Linked DNA regions of Cricetulus griseus. The protein of the gene in region 4 interacts with the protein of the main gene of each other region in a pairwise test. Links are inferred from orthologs where the notes say so. Each region holds a gene or a part of one and is shown on either strand. Other genes may lie near its edges. The genes, in order: Sertad3, Nmnat1, Necab2, Kpna2 and Maged1.

Region 1 (4,015 bases), on a different chromosome or scaffold from region 4:
AAATCCTAGCGCTTGAAGACTAAAACAGGAGGGTAGAGAATGCCAGGGTAGCTTAGGCTAAATACATAGCAAGAGCCTGTTTCAGGAAACAACCAAAAAAATGTCTGGAGACGTAGCTCAGAAGTAGAGTGAGTGCTTTGGCACTAGGTCGGCGCTGTGTTCCCTCCCCAACACCAAAAAAAAAAAAAAAAAAAAAAAAAGAAAAGAAAGAAACAAAGGGGGGAATTTTCTGGGGCTGGAGGGGCACACCTGTAACCCCAGCCAGAACTGAGGCGATGGGAGCAAGGGAATTAGAATTTCAAGGCCAGCACTGTCTACAACACGAGCCGGGAGCTTGCACACGACTGTCTCAAAACAAAACGAAACCTGAAAATGAGTCCTGGGGAACAGGAAGGAAGGCACCCCAGGCCAGATCGTGATAGGGCAAGCTCACCCGTCACTCTGAGACCATGTCACAAAATAAGTACAAACTGAAAAATCTTAGGGGCTATGTAGCTCAGTCCTACTACAGCGCTCAAGTCCAGTGCCCAAACCCAAAAGATAAATTTGAGTTTGTCCCGAGAGTTGCGCGGAGCGATGAAGAGTGAGCAGCAAGAGGCGGGCAACATGATTTCGAAACCATGGGGCAGCCTGGGATCCAGGAGCTCCCACCAAACGGGCAGCGGACCCCTCAAGATTAAGCACCGACTGCGCCTACAAAACGGCTGGGGAGCTGGGGGAGGCAGAGCGAAGCCTGCCAAGGGGCGGGGCTGCGGTCGTCCAGGTAACGCAAGCCGCAATACGCGATTGGCTGATATTTAGTGCGTCACTCCCTCCCCCCCTCCGCTTAGCCGGGGCGGGGGCGTGGCCTCCGCGGGTTTGCCCAGCCTGCAAAACCGCAAGGGAGGGAGGGAGGGGAGTGTGGTGTCACCCGGTGTGGCCCCGCACTGGGGTCTGGCCCGGGTGTGTAAGCGACCTGCGGAGAGACAGAGGAGCAAGAAACACAGCGGGGTGCAAAGAAGCCGTGCGCACGGCCGGCGCCACCCTCCGCCACCGTGCTGGCCCGCCCCGCCCCCTGTTAGTCGCCAGCTTAAACGGGACCCGGCCCTGGAGGGGGGCGGAGCCTAGCGCCCGTGGCTCCTCCTAGCCAATGGCGCCCCACGGCGGGCAGGGTTCCAACCAATCGTGGCTCGCTATGGCCTGCGGGGCGGAGCCGAGCGTCTCCCCGCCCCCGGCCCCCCGGCCCCCCTCCCACGGCCAGACCCGGAGGCCCCGGGGAAAGTGAGCCTGACTCCTGGCCAGCTCTGGTGGGACGCGGCGCCCAGCGCGGGGTTGCCGGAGGTTTGCAGTCGAGGCGACCGTGGCGACCGAGGTGATTGATCAGTGGCCGCCTGGGTGGGGTTTGCTGAAGTTGCAGGAGGGGGAGGAGGGGGAGGAGGAGGGGGCGCGCCCCGGGGTGGGGTGGGCGGAAGCGGGGTAGGGACCCGGGCGGATTGGTGTGGCTGAAGCCGGATCCCAGCATCAGCACCGGAGGGGAGGCAGGATGGAGCTGGAGGACCGAGGGGAACCGGAGGAGGAACTTTGGAGCGGGGCGACGGCTTGGGTGTCCCCGGGTGGGCAGAGTGCGGAGTGGCTCGGCGTTCTGGGGAGCGAGTGAGAGTTCCAGGGCTGCCGCCGCAACCCCTTAGATAGAGGAGCCCGGGAAGAACGCGGGGCACCCGGGGCTGGGCTTCCGAGACGCCCGTCTGAGAAGGGGATGATGCCTGGGGAGGAGTTCCGGCTCGGGGTCCTCCGACCTTGCAAAGTAAAGCCGGGGGGAAGTCATTTCAAAGTCGAGCCACGAACGGGGGGACGCTGGGGACGAGGTCTCAGAATCGAGGTCCCCGCTCTCCCCCGGCCGGACTACCGTAGTCAGTCGTTCACCTGCTCTGAACGATGCGATGCGGGACTCCGCACCCCGAGGACGCTCGAAGGAAGAATCCAGAAACTTCCTGGGGTGATAGGAACCCGGAGAAAGCCCTTTTCGGGTGGAAGGCGGGTGGGGGAGGGGCGTGGAGCTCAGATTCGCCGCCCCGAAGGCAGCAGAGGGCGGGGTTCGGCCGGTGCCCGGCGGCTGGGCGTCCGGGTCCCTTCCCCCCGCCACCAACCAGAGCTCCAATGAGCATGCTCTCGGGCAGGGCGGGTGTGTCCAGGCCCCCCCAGCGCGCAGCGCCTTCTGGGGATTGTAGTTCGAGAGTGACAGCAGCGGCTCTGCCTGTGGTCTCTGGGTCCACAGCTCCCAGAAGGCCCTGAGGACATATTGGGGTGTTCTTGGATCTGATCTAGAGATCCAGGGAAGGGCGGTGCCTATGAGAAAGGACTGTATGGAGGGCACAGCTTGGTGTTGGTTCAGTTCTATCCGGTTGAGGAATGCAAGTTTGGTAAATGCTCCCTCTCTTGTGAAAGCTCCTGGTCTTGGTGTCGGAAACGTATATGGACAGAAATATCCTTGTAAAAAGAAGAAAATCACACACACACACACACACACACACACACACACACACACACACACACACACACACACACACACACCCTCAGTTGGGCATGGGGTTGCACGTCCCAGCATTTGGAAAAGAAAGGCGGTAGGATATGAGTTCTAGGCCAACCTGACCTACAGGGGAGGTTCCAGGGCTACACAGAGAAACCTTGTCTGAAAAGAAACAAAAACAAAACAACAAATCTAAGGTCCAGAGATATGGCCATGCCTCTTGCCAAGATCACAGTTCAAACGCAGAGCTCAAATGTGCTTTCGGTCTGTGGCTCTGTACTCCATACTTGGCTGTCCTGTGACTTGTTAGGGAAAAAAAAAAAAAGATAATAAAAGTATTGCTGGAGAACAGTGCAAGATCCATTGAGATCAGAGTTAAGATCCTCACTTTGCAAATGCTGAAATTGCTCGTCAGAGTGTAATTTTAACATCGTGACTGCCGCAGGCTAATAAGTGATATTCAAGCCAAGTGATATTCAAGTGTTTGGTGATTTGTTTGGGGGCTTTTTGTTTTTCTGAGAGAGGGCCATCTGACCATGAGACTCTGCTTACCCTAAGATTGGATACGTGGACTAGGGTGGTCTTTATTTTTATTTATTTATTTTTTGACTAGGGTGGTCTTGAACTCACAAAACTCTACCTGCCTCTGCCTCCTGGTGATGAAATTAATGGCATGGGACAGCATTGGCAATTTTTTTTCTGTTTATTTTTATGTTTTTAATTTTAGGTGTATGAGTATTTTACTTGCATGTATGTATAGACACCACTTGTGGCAGATCCCCTAAAGTGGAGGCATAGGTCCTCTAAAACTGGAGTTTTAGACAGCTCAGAACCATCACGTTGGTGCTAGAAATCAAACTCAGGTCCTCCGGAAGAGCAGCTGGTGTTCTTAACCACTCAGCCATACCTTTTATATTTGAGATGCTATCTAGCCAAGGATGACCTTGAACTCCTGAACTTTTCTGCCTCCTAAATGCTCTTACACACACACACACACACACACTCACGCACGCACGCACGCACGCACGCACGCACACACACACACACACACATTCTCTTTCTCACTGATCACTCTGTGCTACCCTACTTGCATCTTGTTTTAATATACATTGTTGTTTTGCCTGCATGTATGTCTGTGTCTGAAGGTGTCAGATAGATCTTGGAGTTACAGAGAGTTGTGAGCTGCCCTGTGGGTGCTGGGAATTGAACCCGAGTGCTCTGGAAGGGCAGTCGGTGCTCTTAACCACTGAGCCGTCTCTCCAGCCCTGAATCTTGTTCTTTTAATCAAATAGCATACATTTATTCACCATTCTTAGCCTTGTAGGAGTCTGACTATATGCACTTTTAAGTAGAGGTTCTGATCAAAGGAACCAACCAACCCTCCCGTAACTATACAGTCTTGCTTGAAAAAGTGGGATCCAAAGGTATCCAAAGGCATGGCTGTCTCATGCCTTTAATTCCAGTACTGTGAGGGCTGGGTGGATCTCTGAATTCGAGGCCAGCCTGGTC
Region 2 (4,093 bases), on a different chromosome or scaffold from region 4:
AATGCTCCCAGCCCCAGTGCTCTAGGAGGACCTCAGGTTTCCTTCCCCTGGGGAATGAGGAGGCTGGTGGAAGCTGATCCCTCAGAGTACAGGAGGCAGTCTTTGTCCTTTATCACATTGGTGACCTGTCTCATATATCCATCCCGGCTTTACCAACTCAGCCACCTTAGCTAGACTCTCCAAGCCACAGAGGGTTAAGTTACAGTGAGCTCCTACATCGTGACCTGTCCAACATGGCGGTAACATTGGGTGTGGAGTCTCAGACAGAACTGTTCTGAATGCTGCCGGACCAGTGTCGCCATGATTCACTTTTGTTTGGTCCACACAGCCTATCACCTGCACTGCTGGCTGCCGAGGTCCCATCGGCTCAGGCTGTAAGTGTTCCTCCCCAGCACACTGTGTCAAAGGTTCATTGCTTCCTGGGGCAGTCTTCAGATCCAACTAAAATTTACTTCTAAATCACCCATCTTTTGAGTTTTAAAGATATCATGATGGAAGCATTAACTCACAGCTACCACTGTTTCAAAGACCACTGTGACTCTGCTGGCTCTCCTTGTCCCATTTCCGGATGCTCAGTCTAAAGCCATGCTGGCCCACAGTTAAACGACCTGCCTGGCCAGACCGCCTCTCACCACCACCCTCTGAAAGGACGCGCTGTTGTAACTTTCAGCCTGACCCCTCACCTTGTTCTGAAGCTGCTGCAGCTGTTATACATAGTGTAGATTTGGAAGGTATCAACAACCATTTTCTATGAACACCCTGAAGTCCTTTGGGCCTCACCCCTATTAATAAAAAAACAGCTAATGCGGGAGGAGGCGGACTATTATTTAATGATTAACATTTGCAGCAGTCAACAGTGATTCTGGTATGGCTCCTGACAGCAGGCAAGGCTGCCAGGGGTGTGGGCGAGAATCCTAGCTGTTTCACTTACTGCTGCTGTTTGTCCTTGAACCCTGGTTTCTGCATTTTTAAAATGGGACCCAAGTCTTAGTGACATGTACCTCTAGTCCCAGGGCTAGGCAAGCTGAAGCAGGAGGATTGCTTTAGCCCAGGAGTCCAAGCAGAACCTGGGAAACATAGTAAGATTTAGTCTTAAAAAAATAATAATAAAAGTGTGTGTGTGCACTGGCTCTTGTGGTGGGTGATGGTGCTTGTCTTTCTTTTTTTAAAAAATAGTTTATTTAACTTTATTTTATGTGTATTGGTGTGAAGGTGTTAGATCCCCTGAAACTGAAGTAACAGACAGCTGTGAGCTGCCATGTGGGTGCTGGGAATTGAACCTGTGTCCTCTGAAAGAGCAGCCAGTGCTCTTAACCGCTGAGCCATCTCTCCAGCCCCATGGTGCTTGTCTTTAATCCCAGCACACAGAAGGCAGAAGCAGGCAGATTTCTGTGAGTTCAAGGCCAGCCTGGTCTATACTGGGAGTTTCTGGCCAGCCATGAATAATTAGTGAGACCCTACTATAAAAAAAGAAAAGGGCAGGGCGTGTGTGTGTGTGTGTGTGTGTGTGTGTGTGTGTGTGTGTGTGTGTGTGTGTGTGTGTGTGTGTGTGTGGCGCATGCGCGCGCACACATAGTCCTTATTTTATAGAACTTTGTAAATAAATATATAGATATTTGGTTTTTCGAGACAGGGTTTCTCTGTGTAGCTTTGGAGCCTATCCTGGCACTCTGGACACCAGGCTGGCCTGGAACTCACATCCGCCTGCCTCTGCCTCCCGAGTGCTGGGATTAAAGGCATGCTCCACAACGCCCGGCGAACTTTGTGAATATCAAATAAGATAATGCATATAAGATATTCAATATATTTATCCAATTCAAATAATCATTTTATAGTTTTTTTCTATTTATGCTTACTTTGAATTAATACTTCCTACTACTTGTGTGTTGTTTCCTAACATTAACTTAATTACGGTAAAGGAATCCAATCCTACAGATTTCCCAGAGAGCTGAATACTGGCAGCTGGTAGCTTTTCACTTAGGTGTTAACAGGTACGTTTCATTGGAGGGTGCAGTGCCAGGGGAGTGCATGGCAATTCTCTTCTGCCTGGGTGAAAAAACTCTCTGTGATTTAATCAGTGTGAAACACACCTTGAGTGTGGTTCCGTGAAGTCATAAGGTATCCCTGTGCCGTGCAGCCAGGTGATGGTGTTCCTGTTTGGGATCGGCACCCTGACGCTCCAGTTCTATGTGCTGCTGCGGTGAGTCTCACAGGCCTTACCTGTGGGTTTGGGGCGGGGGCTCCCTGAGATTCCTGTTACTCAATTAACTGCTGCCTGCCCCATTGTTTCTGCTCCTATTATTGGTGGCCATCCAGTCCACCTCTTTGCATTCTTGAAAATCTCAGTAAAGAGAAGGTTGCAGAGATTTGGACAGATTAGGATTAACTTTTAACCAATATTTACTTCCAGTGTAAGAGGCCATTAAATGGGAGACAGTGAAGACACCAATGTCTCCATCATGGGAGGACAGTCCCAAGGGCCTAAGCGTCAGCTAATGTCTGCAGAGCTGAGGGCAGAATTGAGTAGTCAACCAACTGGATTCTGAACTGATGTTCAATTCAGATTCAGTGCTAGTGCTTAGTCATGGAAACTAGAGACCGTCTCTAACAACAGGGGAGGCTAGAGACTGCCCACTAACAACGGTGAAGGCTAGAGACTATCCGCTAACAACAGTGGAGGCTAGAGACCATCCACTAACAACAGTGGAGGCTAGAGACCGTCCTCTAACAACGGTTGAGGCTAGAGACCGTCCTCTAACAATGGTGGAGGCTAGAGACCATTCACTAATAACCCTCACTGGAGAAGCAAAGCAAGCACAATCCACTTACTTAATATAAAGAGTCACAATATTTGTGTGTGTGTGTGTTTTGTTTTTTGTAATTGTTTGATCCCACAAATTTCAGAGAATATACAGATAATCCCATTACCTTGATATTCTCTGAGTGAAAAAAACCAATTTTAATTTATGATGACCTAAAATCCTAGTGCCATGCCTAGAGGCAATAGGAGGAACAGTCATCAAAGAATTACAATCTTAAAGATGTGGAAGTTCTACAAAAATCAGAAAACTGACTTGATGAGGATACAAAGAGAAGGTGTGAGCTGGTGATAATTCCACAATGCAAGTCCACCACAGGAGGCTTGTACCCACACAGCACAGTTCTTTACTCCCAAAGGTCAGAATTTCTACAAAGTATTTTTACCAAACCATCAAATAAGGATTAGGACCTTATAACTAGCATCATTTCCTAGTTTTGAAGCCATTGTTAGAGCTGGGGCATGAAGGGGGCTGATGTACCTCAGACACAGGACTGTGTAGTGGGTGGTGGATGAAGGGCACCAGCCTGTGAATTGCTTTCCAGGCCCAGATCCTCGAGGCACTGCAGTCAGCCTCTCCTGGCCAACTTGACTAGCAATATCGTCCTCACCTTCTTCACCCTCGGTAGGTGTGGAGCTGTCCGTAAGTACCCAGCAGGTGTCTATTATCTGATAGATACAGGTTGTGGGCACAAAAGCGGCTAAGAGGTTTCTGCTCTACAGATGTTCACAGACTGGCGCACAAGAAAAACCACATTGAAAACTCCTGATGGTTGGCTGGGTTGCAGATTAATGGTAGAATGTTCACCTAGCACGTGTGATGCCCTGGGTTTGCCACCATCTTTAAAAATAAAACCAAATGTTAAATGAAGAGAATCTTTTAAATTTCTTAGGTAGCAACCCTTATAGTTATCCTACAATCAGAATGTGAAACTAAGGCCAAATCTAGTAAAATAAATCACATTTTTCTCCTTTCTTCCCCTCCTCATTCTTTCTTCTGGAGTGGGTGGGGTGGGCCGTTTCTTGCGATGGATGGTCTTGAATTCACTGTGTATTCCAGCTAGCCTCAAAGTCATGGTAATCTTCCTGCCCCTCAGCCTTCAGTGCTGGGATTACAGACATGGGCCACCATGCCTGACCTGTAACAGTTTATATAGTTATACTAAAGTTCTGGATTTAGTTATTCATTCAGTAAGTAGTGTTGGGCCAGCAAGCTGGCTCAGCAGGTAAAGGTGCTTGCTGGGCAGGCCTGGCAACTGGAGTTCTATTCCAGAT
Region 3 (3,513 bases), on a different chromosome or scaffold from region 4:
AGGGCCACACTGATGTCCAGTCATTGCTATGTCACAGCACAGAACCCCAGGCTCAGATGAGTTAAGGATTATTAGGGCCTGAGTTTAAACCTATGTCTCCTCTATTCTTCCTACAATGTGGGTACCTCACAATCACAGCCTCTGTGCCTGTCTGCCCTGCCCGAAGACAGCTACATGTAACAAGCAAGAGGTGCATCCACTGTTAAAGAAAACAGTGGTGGGTGGTTGGTTCTCAAGTTTGAACAAGGGCCTGCCTCTGAATCACACCTCTAGTCTCCACTGACCTCTTGTCTGTACATCTCAAGAAAGGGCCAAGTAGATAAGATGTCTTCGAAGATTCAAGCTTGTTTCTGTCACTTAACAGGCACATGGGCAGCTCCAGGAAGGCCGGGGCCCTTTGGTCTCTCTACAATGAGATGGCCAGCCCAGCAGTACCCAGACCTGCTACCAAGGACCTCCATCCTCCCTGCTCTCCAGGCACAGTTAGAAGCCTTGCCTGGCTATCTGGGGGGCCAAGCCTGGAGCTGGCTTGAATCTGCCCATACTAATGGCTTAGGCCAATCAGAGACCTTGGAGGACCCCGCCCCATCTCCAGGATGCCTAGGTGCTCCTGGTTACCAGCAGCCTGGTTGTTAGGGCGACCGGGGTACTAAAAATAAGCTTCAAAGAGCCTCCCTCCTGGGGCACCCACTGAGTTGTTATGACAACCGGGCACAAGGTCCCCACCATGCTGCTCTCACCCTGGGCAGGGCAGCAGGCTTAAAAGGGGTGTGGGAGGGGGACCCCCGCTTCAGTCACAGCCCTGCAGCTGAGCCACCAACAGCCTTTCCTCCCATCAGACTGCTTTCCAGTGAGGAGGCCCTTGCTTCACGCCCATGAGTCCCTCAGAACAAAGCCCCAAACCAGCTAAGTACCAGAGCTCCTTGCAAAAGAAATACAGAAAAACAGAAGAAATGTTACCTCAATCCCAGGGCTCCGAGATACCTGTCACTCACTCGGTGTAAGCATGTGCATGGGAGCCCTGGGCACATGTGTAGGTAATTTGGTAAAGGATGACAGCAGTGCTAACATGGCTAAGGTTAGATGCTAACAGGGACATCAGACTCTGACCTGAGCCACCTGCACCTTGGTGAGGAACACTGATCGCCTAGATGTCTCCGCTGTCATCAGAGCAGGCGTGTCAGGCTCAGAGAGAGCAAGCCACTGACTCAAATGGAGCCAAAGAGCAGAAACCCAGCTCCAGCAGAGGAACACCTGAGCCCACCCATCTGCAAGCCCCTGTGGGAGTCCTTCAAGTTACACACTGTCCCTAGCTCCACACTTCTGGACTGTGTTGTGTGGTCAGCACTCTCCTGTCTGGAACCTGCCTCCAACCATTGCGGAGTCCCACTCACACCTGCTTTTTGCCTCCTGTCTTGGAGCTAGCTTTCTTGGAAATGATAACAGCATAGGACCTTACTGATTACTCTGCACCTGGAATGCTGCCTGCCCTCCCATAGTCAGGACCATGGCCTCAGTCCAACTCTGTACAACCTCCCACCCACCAGGGTGACCTCAACCTCCCCAGCAAACAAGTTCTAAAGTGGACAGGAGAAAGGTGAAAGGGGCTTGGGGTGGGCCTACCTTGCTCTCCAGTCTCCCAATCAGCTCTGCCAACCGGCTTATCTGGCCCTCCAGCCCCTCCTCCTTTGGCTCCCCTGTGGCTGAAAAACAGAGAGACCCTGGTGGTGGGCAGGGCCATCCTGAGGAGGCCGAGCCCCAACCCCAGGCTAGGCCCTAGAGGAGATTCCTTGGGTCCCCTTGGAGGGTAGTGCCCATTGATGCTTTCTTACCCACAGACAGGCTCTTCCCGGCTGGCTCGGGGGGAACAAGTTTGTGGTTGGGGATGTAGGGAGGACTGGGGCCTCCATAGTGGCTCTCGGTGATGCCGTGGCTGGGTTTGCAGTGCTCCTGTCTGCAGTGTGCACAGGAGAAACAAGGTGTTGATGAGGGCAGCTGTAGGACCATGATCACCTCTACAACCTTCACCATGCACTTTGGAAGCACTGGCCATGCCCTGAAATGTGCACAGGCCTGCCCTGTGGGACCACATCTGCAGGATGGTCAGAGTGACCTTCATTTTCACACAGGAGGAAACCACCCATGAGGCAGGTGACTTGGCCAAGGCCATGTGGTCAGCTGGGGCATAGCTCTAAGCCAGGACTCTTGAGGCCAGACCCTGTGTCCCATAGGCTCATTTTCATGGCTGGGCCAGGAACCTATCTGGCTGATCTCATAGCTCATAGCTTCCTCCTTCCTAGTCTCAGTAGAGACTGTGGAGTGACTTCTGGGGAGGAAGACCTGGGTCAGTGAGACACCCCACCCCCAACAAGGCAGCAAGAAAATACCCTGAACCTAGCCAGAGCCAGAGTCCATCTCTTGTCCCCATGTCCTCTTTCCCCCATGCACATAACTCACCTGGCACCCTTCACCCCTAACACAGTGACAGGCACCCAGCAGGGTCTCCAAAAATTCGGGGTGAACAGCCAATTCCTTATGCACAAAGATGGGCTTGCAAAACTGACTACAGATATTGCAGTTAATGGGGTATGTGGCTGATACCCCTATCCCATTTTGAATTTGTCTCCTGTGACTCCTGAAAGCTTAACGAGACTTTCTCCTGTGTTGAGGAAGCAGGCTCAGCTCCCCCAGAGAGACAAGGCTAGCGGAGGCTTTGAGCTGTCTATCACACACACATTTCTACATGCCAGTAACAAATTCAGTGTGTCCCTCAGACCATGAAGAGTTGAGTGGGAGGCCCCTCAAGCAGCTTCTCTTGGAACACAGCACCCTTGGGGGCTACTCCATGGTGGGGACAGAGGGTAGTGCAAGAGAACTCAGGGCTTGTAGCCAAAAGTGTTTAGATGTGGGGCAGTTTGAGGTGTCTGTGGGCACGGAACAGATTTCCCATCAAGACACACCACCCACTCCTTCCACTGACACCCCAGAGTTATCCCCTCCTAGTGGGGGCAGGCGGGTGGAACCATGGATAGAGCCACAGAGCGTAGGAAGGCAGCCAGGAAAATTGCCCAAGGCTGCTATCTGTCCACAGCAGGAGGAAAAGGGGAAGTTTGATTAAGATAATAATATAAATCAATAAAGGGAAAGCTGTCTGTCCCCAGAATGGTGGCCGATGACACTGGGGACTTGGTATTGCAAGGCTGCCCACATGGACAGAGTCATGAACTGCATTTTTCAAGTGCTGACAGCAAACACATTTTTGCAACAATGTCATTAAGAACCCCTCACAACCCTATCTGAGGTCCTCACTGACCAAGTGACTCCCACTCAAACCCCACCCCACAGCAAAAGAACATCCTGCTCCCACTATGCCCCTCTGCCAGGCACCCTGAAGTTGTACACTGATAAAGCCAAGGCTGGATAGCCCAGGGATATGGGCTCCCTGGCAGCTGCCCGCCTGTGTGTGGGTCCCATTTCCCCTTTTCTGATCTGAACAGATAGGAGTTTCCTGAG
Region 4 (3,513 bases):
TCCAAACAACTTTTTTTGTTGTTTTCAAGACAGGGTTTCTATGAAGCCCGAGCTACCCTGAACTTGCTCTATAGAGAACAAGAGATCTGCCTGCCTCCTGAGTGGTATGATTAAAGGCAAGTAACACCCACCCTACCTGGCATCCAAATTTTCAACTTTTTTTTGTTGTTTTTTTTTTTTTCGAGGCAGGGTTTCTCTGTGTAGTTTTGGAGCCTGTCCTGGAACTAGCTCTTGTAGACCAGGCTGGTCTCGAACTCAGAGATCCACCTGCCTCTGCCTCATGAATGCTGGGATCAAAGGCGTGCACCACCAACACCAGACCCCAAATTTTCAACTTTTAACTGATTCCTGTGAGCAGGAAACCTGGCCACATGACAAAGATTTACATACATGTAGGCATGAAACACCAGTGACTCCTTTCTCTAGACTCAACTTTCTTTTGTAAAAAGTTCTAGTTTACTCTATAATCTAGACTGGCTTGGAACTATGTAGTCCAGGCTGGTCTTCAACTCATCACAGTCCTCCTGTGTGCTAGGATTTTAAGTGTGAGCTACCAATACCAACTTACACTCAACTTGAAAAGTTCCAGAACTAGTAGAAATACTATCACAAAATGTCAGATGCTGGCACACTTGAAATCAAATAGGGATAGGGCTGGGGGGCGGGGAACGACACTTATTTCAATTAAATCCCCAGGTGGAAGTGGCACAGGCCTCTAATCCCAGCATTCGGGAAAGATTAAAGGCAGAGGCAGGCAGATCTGAGTTTGAGGCCAGCTCGATGTACAGAGCAAGTTCCAGAACAGCAACGGCTACAAAGGCAGGCAGGCAGGAGCACCAAAATACAAAATCAAACCATGGGACTAGTGAGGTAGTTCACCATATAAAACTGAGTGTGGAGTGTGGTGAAAACCATGAGAGGTGGAGGCAATAGGCTCAGAAAGAAATTCAAGGACATCTCCAGCTATATAGGGAGTTCAAGCTAGCCTAGGCCACTTGACACCTTCCCATCCTTAAAGGAGCTAGAGAAGTGGCTCAGTGAGTGGTTAAGAGCTTTTTTTCTTGCAGAGGATGTGGGTTTGATTCCCAGCACCTATGTGGTCAGCACACCAGTATAACTCCAGCCACGATCCACATAGAATTTTTCCTTCTTTCTGAGACAGGGTTTCTCTGTTGAGCCCTGTAGACTAGGCTGGTCTTGAACTTACAGAGATCTGCTTCCTCTGCCTCCTGCGCCACCACTGCCCCACTAAGAATTCATTAGTAAATGTACAAAGTAAGGCTGCACATGAACACCCTTCTGATTCTGCAGACTATTAGTAATCAAACTTACCTGTCCTCTCCCCAGTCCTAAATAGTAACTATCAACTCAATTCAAACACACAGCCTTGTTAGGACTTACCTGAAAGATATTTGAAATGGCATCAAGAATAACCAAAATAATTTTGGTATCTTTTGCACTTAAGAGGTTCATCAAAGGTTCTATTATGCCACAATGAACAAGATACACAATCTGTTCAACAGTCCCACCACTGGTGTAGTTGGTTACAGCCCATACAGCTTCCTTCTGTGTCTTAAAGTCTGCCTGATAAGCAAGAAGAAAATGGTTTTAGTTCAGAAACCCGAGAGGTTAGACTCCAAAAGGTAGGGTTTGTTCCACAGACAGAACTAAACTACCTGCTGGTTCTACCCAACATTAGGAGGTGCTTGCTGCCTGTTACCTAACAGAAGCTCGCTGTCCTCAAACTCAGAGATCCTCCTCCTGTCTCTACCTCCCAAGCCCAGGGATTAAAGACATATAGGCTGTCATAAATATTAACAATCTTCTGACTACATCCTACACTCACTTCATTACCTTAGAGAGGACACCAACAAGATATGGGACTAAGCCATGATTCACAACTTGCTGTATCTGGTCCTGGCGTCCAGCTGTGATGTTTGACATTGTCCACGTGGCCTCCTTCTGAATATTAGTTTTGGAGTTTGTTAGCAGGTTGGGAAAAACTGCAAGTGCTCCTGCATCTATCACAATCTGAGTCTGTTCATCTGTTCCAGTGACAATATTCCCTATGGCTCTGAGTGCAGGAGTCTGAAATAGAAAAAATGTTGCTGCAGATTAGTTACATGGTATTATTCTTCCAGGCTTCTAAAAATTCGTTCCCCCCCCCCCAGACAGGGTTTCTCTGTGGCTTTGGAGTCTGTCTGCCTCTAACTCAGAGATCCGCCTGCCTCTGCCTCTCGGTGCTGGAATTAAAGGTGTGTGCCACCATCACCCTAAAAATTCTCTATTCAAAAACTTCTACAAAAGTCACAGGCAGTATCAATACTACCAACTGATTATGCTCTTGTACTATTAAAGCTCGTAAATAAAAGGTCAGTACTTACCACAATTGGCAACTCAGTGGCTCCTAGAAGCTTCACAAGTTGGGGCACAACTCCTGTCTTTACAACCATTTCAATCCGCTCATTTGGACCATCAGTCAAGTAGGAAATAGCCCAGCAGGAATCTGCTAATACTTCTGGGTCATTGTGATGCAGAAGACGAACTAAAGTAGGAAGAATCTGCTCAACAGCATCTAGGGGGGGTGCAGGATTCTTGTTGCGACAAAGGTTTGAAAGTGTCCAGGTAAGGTTGCGTAAATAACCACACTGTGGGGAAGAAAAGTTAATTATAAGGCTCATTTCTGAGTAGATGGGGAAAATAAGAACCAAATACTTTATTTATGGTATTAACTTACTGCCAAGGAAGACAGGTCAGGAATTGCAAGAAGTGCCAACAGTGGGTCAACTGCACCATATTTGATAACTAAATCTCGGAAAACTGAACCATCACCTGAAACAGAAAGCAAGATTAGCTGGTGAACACCTTTAATTCTAGGATCTATTTTTGTGAGTTCCAAGCTAACCTGGTCTACAGTCAGTGGTAAGCAGTGAGACCCAGTTTCAGAAAAAAAAAAAAAAAAAAAACACGATGAATGAGTGAATCTGCTACTGAATGACTGTCACATACTCAATCGCTTCTCCAGCAGCATGGTGAGATGCCTCTTCCCCTCCTAATATGGGAGGGCCTAGAGCAAGCTCAAGGCCCCACCCAGAAGTCACCAGGACCTTTAACAGTGTCCTTTAATCACACTGGCTACATTCAGTCCAAAGAATTTTAAGTACAAGTACCTGCAATGTTTCCAAGAGCCCAAACAGCTTGCTCGCTGATGTGAGCATGGGGAGATGCCAAGAGAGAAATGAATGCTGGGATAGCACCTCCATCTACCACAGCCTTGGTCTGTTCCGACGTTCCAGAAGCAATGTTAGTAAGTGCCCAAGCAGATTCAAACTGAATGGGACTACAATCCGTTTTGCCCAAGAAGGACACAAATTTTGGGATCAAACCAGCCCGAATGATGTTGTCTATAGGAGGTTGTTTCTCCCTAGAAAGCAGTTTCCTAAGGGGAAACAAAAAAAGAAAATCAAAAGTTGAAGTTTATTTCCAAGGTACCTTGAAAATAAAGGTATCTAA
Region 5 (4,215 bases), on a different chromosome or scaffold from region 4:
CCCCTTTCTGTGATTCTTATTTTGGGTAGTCAGTAAACCAGGCTTACCAAAGTTGACTAAAGTGACTATATTCTCAGGGGCTCACATAACCAGGGACAGATAGTCCCGACACTAATCACGCAATTCTAAAGCCCAGCCGAGGTTCATTCTGCAAGAACAGAACAGACACACCTGACTGCTCCGGCCTCAAGCAAGCATCATCAAGTCCTGGGGTCTCACTCTGGGCAAGTGCCTGCCAACGGGAGTACAGAGTGAACCTGAAGGGTTCCCACATATACTAGGCCTCTTAGAACACAGGCTTTGTCCACTTGGAACAAATATTGGGGAGAGGAAAGATTGTCATTTCAATGAAAAATTAAGGGGTGTCTTGATTCTCAGACCAGCACTAATAGCTATATAGATTTTGCAGTCAGGAAAATCCGCACCCCACCCCCCCGCCCCGCCCCATGTTTGGTTTTTGGATAAAGTCTCAGCGTTGTGCACCTGGCCTGGAACTCGTGGCTTTCCTCACTCAGTCTCCAGAGTGCTGGGATTACCAGTGTGCACCACTGTGCTGTGCCAAATTTTGCCCTCTCTGTTTGTTACTTGCTCAGTGCCCTGGTTCATACAGTGGGTTTATGATTTAGCTACCTGGTATGCAAAATGAAGATGTTGCCCTCCATCAATCTTCTAGGGCTGATGTTCGAGAAAAACCAGCTCCAGGACAGATCCCACTGCCCTTATGCCTTTCCCTCCCCTCTCTGGCCCACACCTCATGAAATGTTTCCATGGCAAAACTGCAAATAAATAAATAAATAAATAAATAAATAAATAAATAAATAAATAAAAAGAAAACGGGGTGGGGAGGGCGGCAAGAGAAAAGCTCATTTTCTGAGTCTGGTCAGAGGAAATCTACCCCCTGGCTGGCACTTGCTTTGCTACCTCCTGGAATGTATCCCCCCCAAGGCCGACCTTTAAGGTTCCTGCGTTGCAAAGTGGGTGAACTCAGCAGAGGCCTAGCTTGCAGCGAACTAAGAGACCCCCCGCAGAGGCCTACCTAAGAGGCCCTAAGCAAGGGGTGGGAGGTACTTGCAGGCCTGGCTAGAGAGTCCTGGGTGGGGGGGGAAGGGAGGGACTGAGGAGAGACGCATTGCGGATAAAGGTAGGGGGCTGGTGTGTTGGGCAAGGGGGTGGGACCAAAAGGCGCTGCGCATCTGTTGGAGGAGTGGGTGCGTAAGAAGAAGGGGAGGAACCTTCGTACACTGTCAACCTGGTTGGCGGTGGGATAGTGTGTTGGCAAAGAGGCGGGATCTCCTCCAAGTGCACATGCGCGACAAGGTCTCTAGGATGAAGCTTTTGTTGGGAAAGCAAGCGGGACTCTTATTTGGACAGTTAGCTATTGCGCATGCGCGAGGCTTCCTGAGGCGGTGGGTGGTATATTAGGCGAAGAGGCGGGGTCGCCCGAGCTGCCGCGCTGGCATTTTCTCCTGGACAAGGAGAGAGTGCGGCTGCTGAGAGCCGAGCACAGCAATCCTGATCCTCTGAGTCGTGAAGAAGGGAGACAGCAAGGGGGTTGGGGTTGGGGCCTGAGGCAAGGTGAGATTAGCCCCCAGACTGGGCATCTGCCCCCTGGTGTGGCATCCTTCCCCCATTCTTTTATCCCAATCCCTTTACCCTGGATTCAGAAACCCCCTCCACTACCCGATCCCTGATTCTTACCCCCCCCCCCATCTAATTTAGAACCCCGTTCATTCTCTGAATCCTTATCCCATTCCTTCACAGAATCCTCAAATTTCTCGACCTTGATCCGTTATAGATTCCTTTTGATTGAGAACCTCAATCCAACTTTCCAGAAGCGAATTTTTCCCCCTCGCTCTCCCCCGCCCCCCGAAAACTGCCGCATTCAGAGCTCTTATCAGATTCCAGAACGCGGATTTGAAGCTTTTCCCTATCGGGTTCTGGAATTTTTAAATTGCCCATCAGGATGCTCATTTACTTTTCCCGCTCTGATTAGGCTTGTTTCTCCCCTTATCCAGCACCTCACCCGCCCCCAGCATCAAACCACACACGCACACACAATTCGGCCCTACGTATTTTCCTTCTGTAGTGTAATGCCTAGTTCCTCTCCCACACCCCCCTAGGCTCTGCTCTTGCCAGAGACACAAGAGCTATGGCTCAGAAACCGGACGGCGGTGCAGGCCTCCGCGGCTACCAGGTGAGATCCCCGCTCCCCATTCCTCCATTTTCCCTGCTGACAGATTACGCGCACCCCCCGGCCCCTTTGGTGGCACAAATGGCAGGCTCTGATTTTGCCCTTCTTCCGGCCTAGACTCCGCTGGCTCTCAAATGTCTAGCGTTTATCGAATGGGGGGAGGGGCGTCCCTTTTCAGCCATCGGTCCCTGCTTAGAGAAAGGGGAGACCCTGTTAGTCAGGGCATTCTGCCCAGAGAATGCGGGTTGGGTAAGGAACCATTTTTTTTTCCATAACCCTGACGCGTGTAGAGCAGTCTGTCGCCCCATCCCCCAACCTCTCGCCTCCACCCTCCCTTTCTCCACGCCGCGAGACTCCCCCTCCACCCTCCCTGCTTATCCTCCGCGATTCCTCCCTCCTCCTCCTCGGGTCTTGAGCTCCCCACCGCAAGCCTAACCAGTCCGGCTCTGAACCTGTTTGGGGTCAGTGGTTGCACCACGGTTCCTCACCAGTCCCTGCTGCCTCTGACTGCCCTCACCTTGTCCTGCCCCCTCTATTCTTAACCAAATTTTGTTCCCACCCCGCCTCCCTTTGACCCTTCTGTGCCCCCAGATCTGTGAACTGCGATGCGTGTCTACAGCTCCCCTGCTGCGTATGCCCCTCCTTCTGATCTGGCTTGTAAGGCCCAGAGGTTGAAATTCCCCCTCCTGTATTTGCAGGCTGAGGCCTCTGTAGAAGACAGCGCCTTGCTTGTGCAGACCTTGATGGAAGCCATCCAGATCTCCGAGGCTCCACCCACCAACCAGGCCACAGCAGCTGCCAGTGGGCAGAATGTTAGTCCCCAGAGTTCACAGCCCCCAACTGCCAATCAGGTGGCTGATACTGGGGTTTCAACAGCAGCTGCTAGGCCTAAGACAGGCTTTAGAGCCCAGAATACCTTCTCAAAGGGTCCAAATGATTTCTCTCACGCACGTAATGCCAAGGAGATGTCCAAGAACCAGTCTAAGGCGGCCTATAAGTCACATAATGGCACCTCTAAAGGGCCAAATGCTGCCTCTAATTTTTCCCACGGAGCAACCACAGGCAAATCAGCAGCTAAAAAGTCTGAAATAGCCTTTAAGGTCCAGAATACCACTACTAAGGCAGGCCCTGGTGCCACCTACAATTTCTCTCAGTCTCCCAGTGCCAATGAGATGATCAACAACCAGCCTAAGACAGCTACTAAGGCTTGGAATGATACCACTAAGGTCCCTGCAGCTGATGCCCAGATCCAGAATGTAAACCAGGCCAAAATGGCTAATGTAGGGACCAGCCCAGGTATCTCTGAAACTGGTGGTGCAGCTGCACAGACCTCAGCCGATGGCTCCCAGGCTCAGAATGTGGAGTCTCGGACTATAATTCGGGGCAAGAGGACCCGCAAGGTGAGATCCCTCCTAGCTTTACTTAGCTCCAAACAAAATAAAGGGCGCATATACCTGTATTGGGGCTAGGTTTTAGGGGGTGTTGAGGTAAATGTTTATTCCTGACCCCTGATTGTCCACAGGTTGATGGTGAGTTTATACAAGGACAGATAATCTGGATCACCGTACCACCTGTGTATAGGTCATTTTACATTTTGACAGTAAACACCATGGGTGAGGTCGTAAGCTAGGCTGGCTCACACCAAATTATCATTGAAGCTTCACCTCACTAGCTAGAGAAAACACAGGATGAAATGAGATGGCTTGAATTCAGGATGATAGCAGTAGTCACACAGGAAAAGGAGAAGCCCTAGTCCCCACTTTATGGTTGTTCTTGGTCTGGTTTGGACATGAATCTCCCACCTGAAAGACAATGAAAAATAAACATAAAGTGACCGATGACTAGTGAAGGGTCAGAATGTCCTTATAGGTGGAAAATTCATAGGAACTTCCTAGATTAGCTGCTGGGAGGACCAAGGATTAATAGTGACTCTGGAATTTTCTTTTCTCTTACGATGCAGATTAATAACTTGAATGTGGAAGAGAACAGCAGTGGGGATCAAAGGCGGGCCTCACTAGCTTCAG

What was found.
Region 1: the proteins of Kpna2 (region 4) and Sertad3 interact in binary tests that used the Homo sapiens proteins (3 or more experiments, as listed by UniProt). The two-hybrid records come from large-scale screens. The link is inferred for Cricetulus griseus from reciprocal best matches to the Homo sapiens genes KPNA2 and SERTAD3.
Region 2: the proteins of Kpna2 (region 4) and Nmnat1 interact in a two-hybrid assay, tested with the Homo sapiens proteins (3 studies listed by BioGRID and IntAct). The two-hybrid records come from large-scale screens. The link is inferred for Cricetulus griseus from reciprocal best matches to the Homo sapiens genes KPNA2 and NMNAT1.
Region 3: the proteins of Kpna2 (region 4) and Necab2 interact in binary tests that used the Homo sapiens proteins (3 or more experiments, as listed by UniProt). The two-hybrid records come from large-scale screens. The link is inferred for Cricetulus griseus from reciprocal best matches to the Homo sapiens genes KPNA2 and NECAB2.
Region 5: the proteins of Kpna2 (region 4) and Maged1 interact in binary tests that used the Homo sapiens proteins (3 or more experiments, as listed by UniProt). The two-hybrid records come from large-scale screens. The link is inferred for Cricetulus griseus from reciprocal best matches to the Homo sapiens genes KPNA2 and MAGED1.

Annotation. Positions count from the first base shown.
Region 1 is NC_048602.1:8,447,592-8,451,606, reverse strand, and holds the start of Sertad3 (SERTA domain-containing protein 3), read left to right. Parts: upstream 1-1,209; 5' UTR 1,210-1,351; intron 1,352-1,473; exon of another isoform or gene 1,474-1,592; intron 1,593-4,015.
Region 2 is NC_048595.1:6,903,376-6,907,468, reverse strand, and holds the start of Nmnat1 (nicotinamide/nicotinic acid mononucleotide adenylyltransferase 1), read right to left. Parts: upstream 2,810-4,093; 5' UTR 2,116-2,809; coding exon 2,091-2,115; intron 1,068-2,090; coding exon 1,002-1,067; intron 1-1,001.
Region 3 is NC_048596.1:196,098,518-196,102,030, reverse strand, and holds part of Necab2 (N-terminal EF-hand calcium-binding protein 2), read right to left. Parts: intron 1,955-3,513; coding exon 1,833-1,954; intron 1,704-1,832; coding exon 1,624-1,703; intron 1-1,623. UniProt on the Homo sapiens protein: May act as a signaling scaffold protein that senses intracellular calcium.
Region 4 is NC_048600.1:119,941,133-119,944,645, forward strand, and holds part of Kpna2 (importin subunit alpha-1), read right to left. Parts: intron 3,440-3,513; coding exon 3,171-3,439; intron 2,833-3,170; coding exon 2,738-2,832; intron 2,649-2,737; coding exon 2,385-2,648; intron 2,089-2,384; coding exon 1,855-2,088; intron 1,585-1,854; coding exon 1,402-1,584; intron 1-1,401.
Region 5 is NC_048604.1:75,451,560-75,455,774, forward strand, and holds the start of Maged1 (melanoma-associated antigen D1), read left to right. Parts: upstream 1-1,409; 5' UTR 1,410-1,575; intron 1,576-2,120; 5' UTR 2,121-2,149; coding exon 2,150-2,194; intron 2,195-2,889; coding exon 2,890-3,591; intron 3,592-4,151; coding exon 4,152-4,215. UniProt on the Homo sapiens protein: Involved in the apoptotic response after nerve growth factor (NGF) binding in neuronal cells. Inhibits cell cycle progression, and facilitates NGFR-mediated apoptosis. May act as a regulator of the function of DLX family members.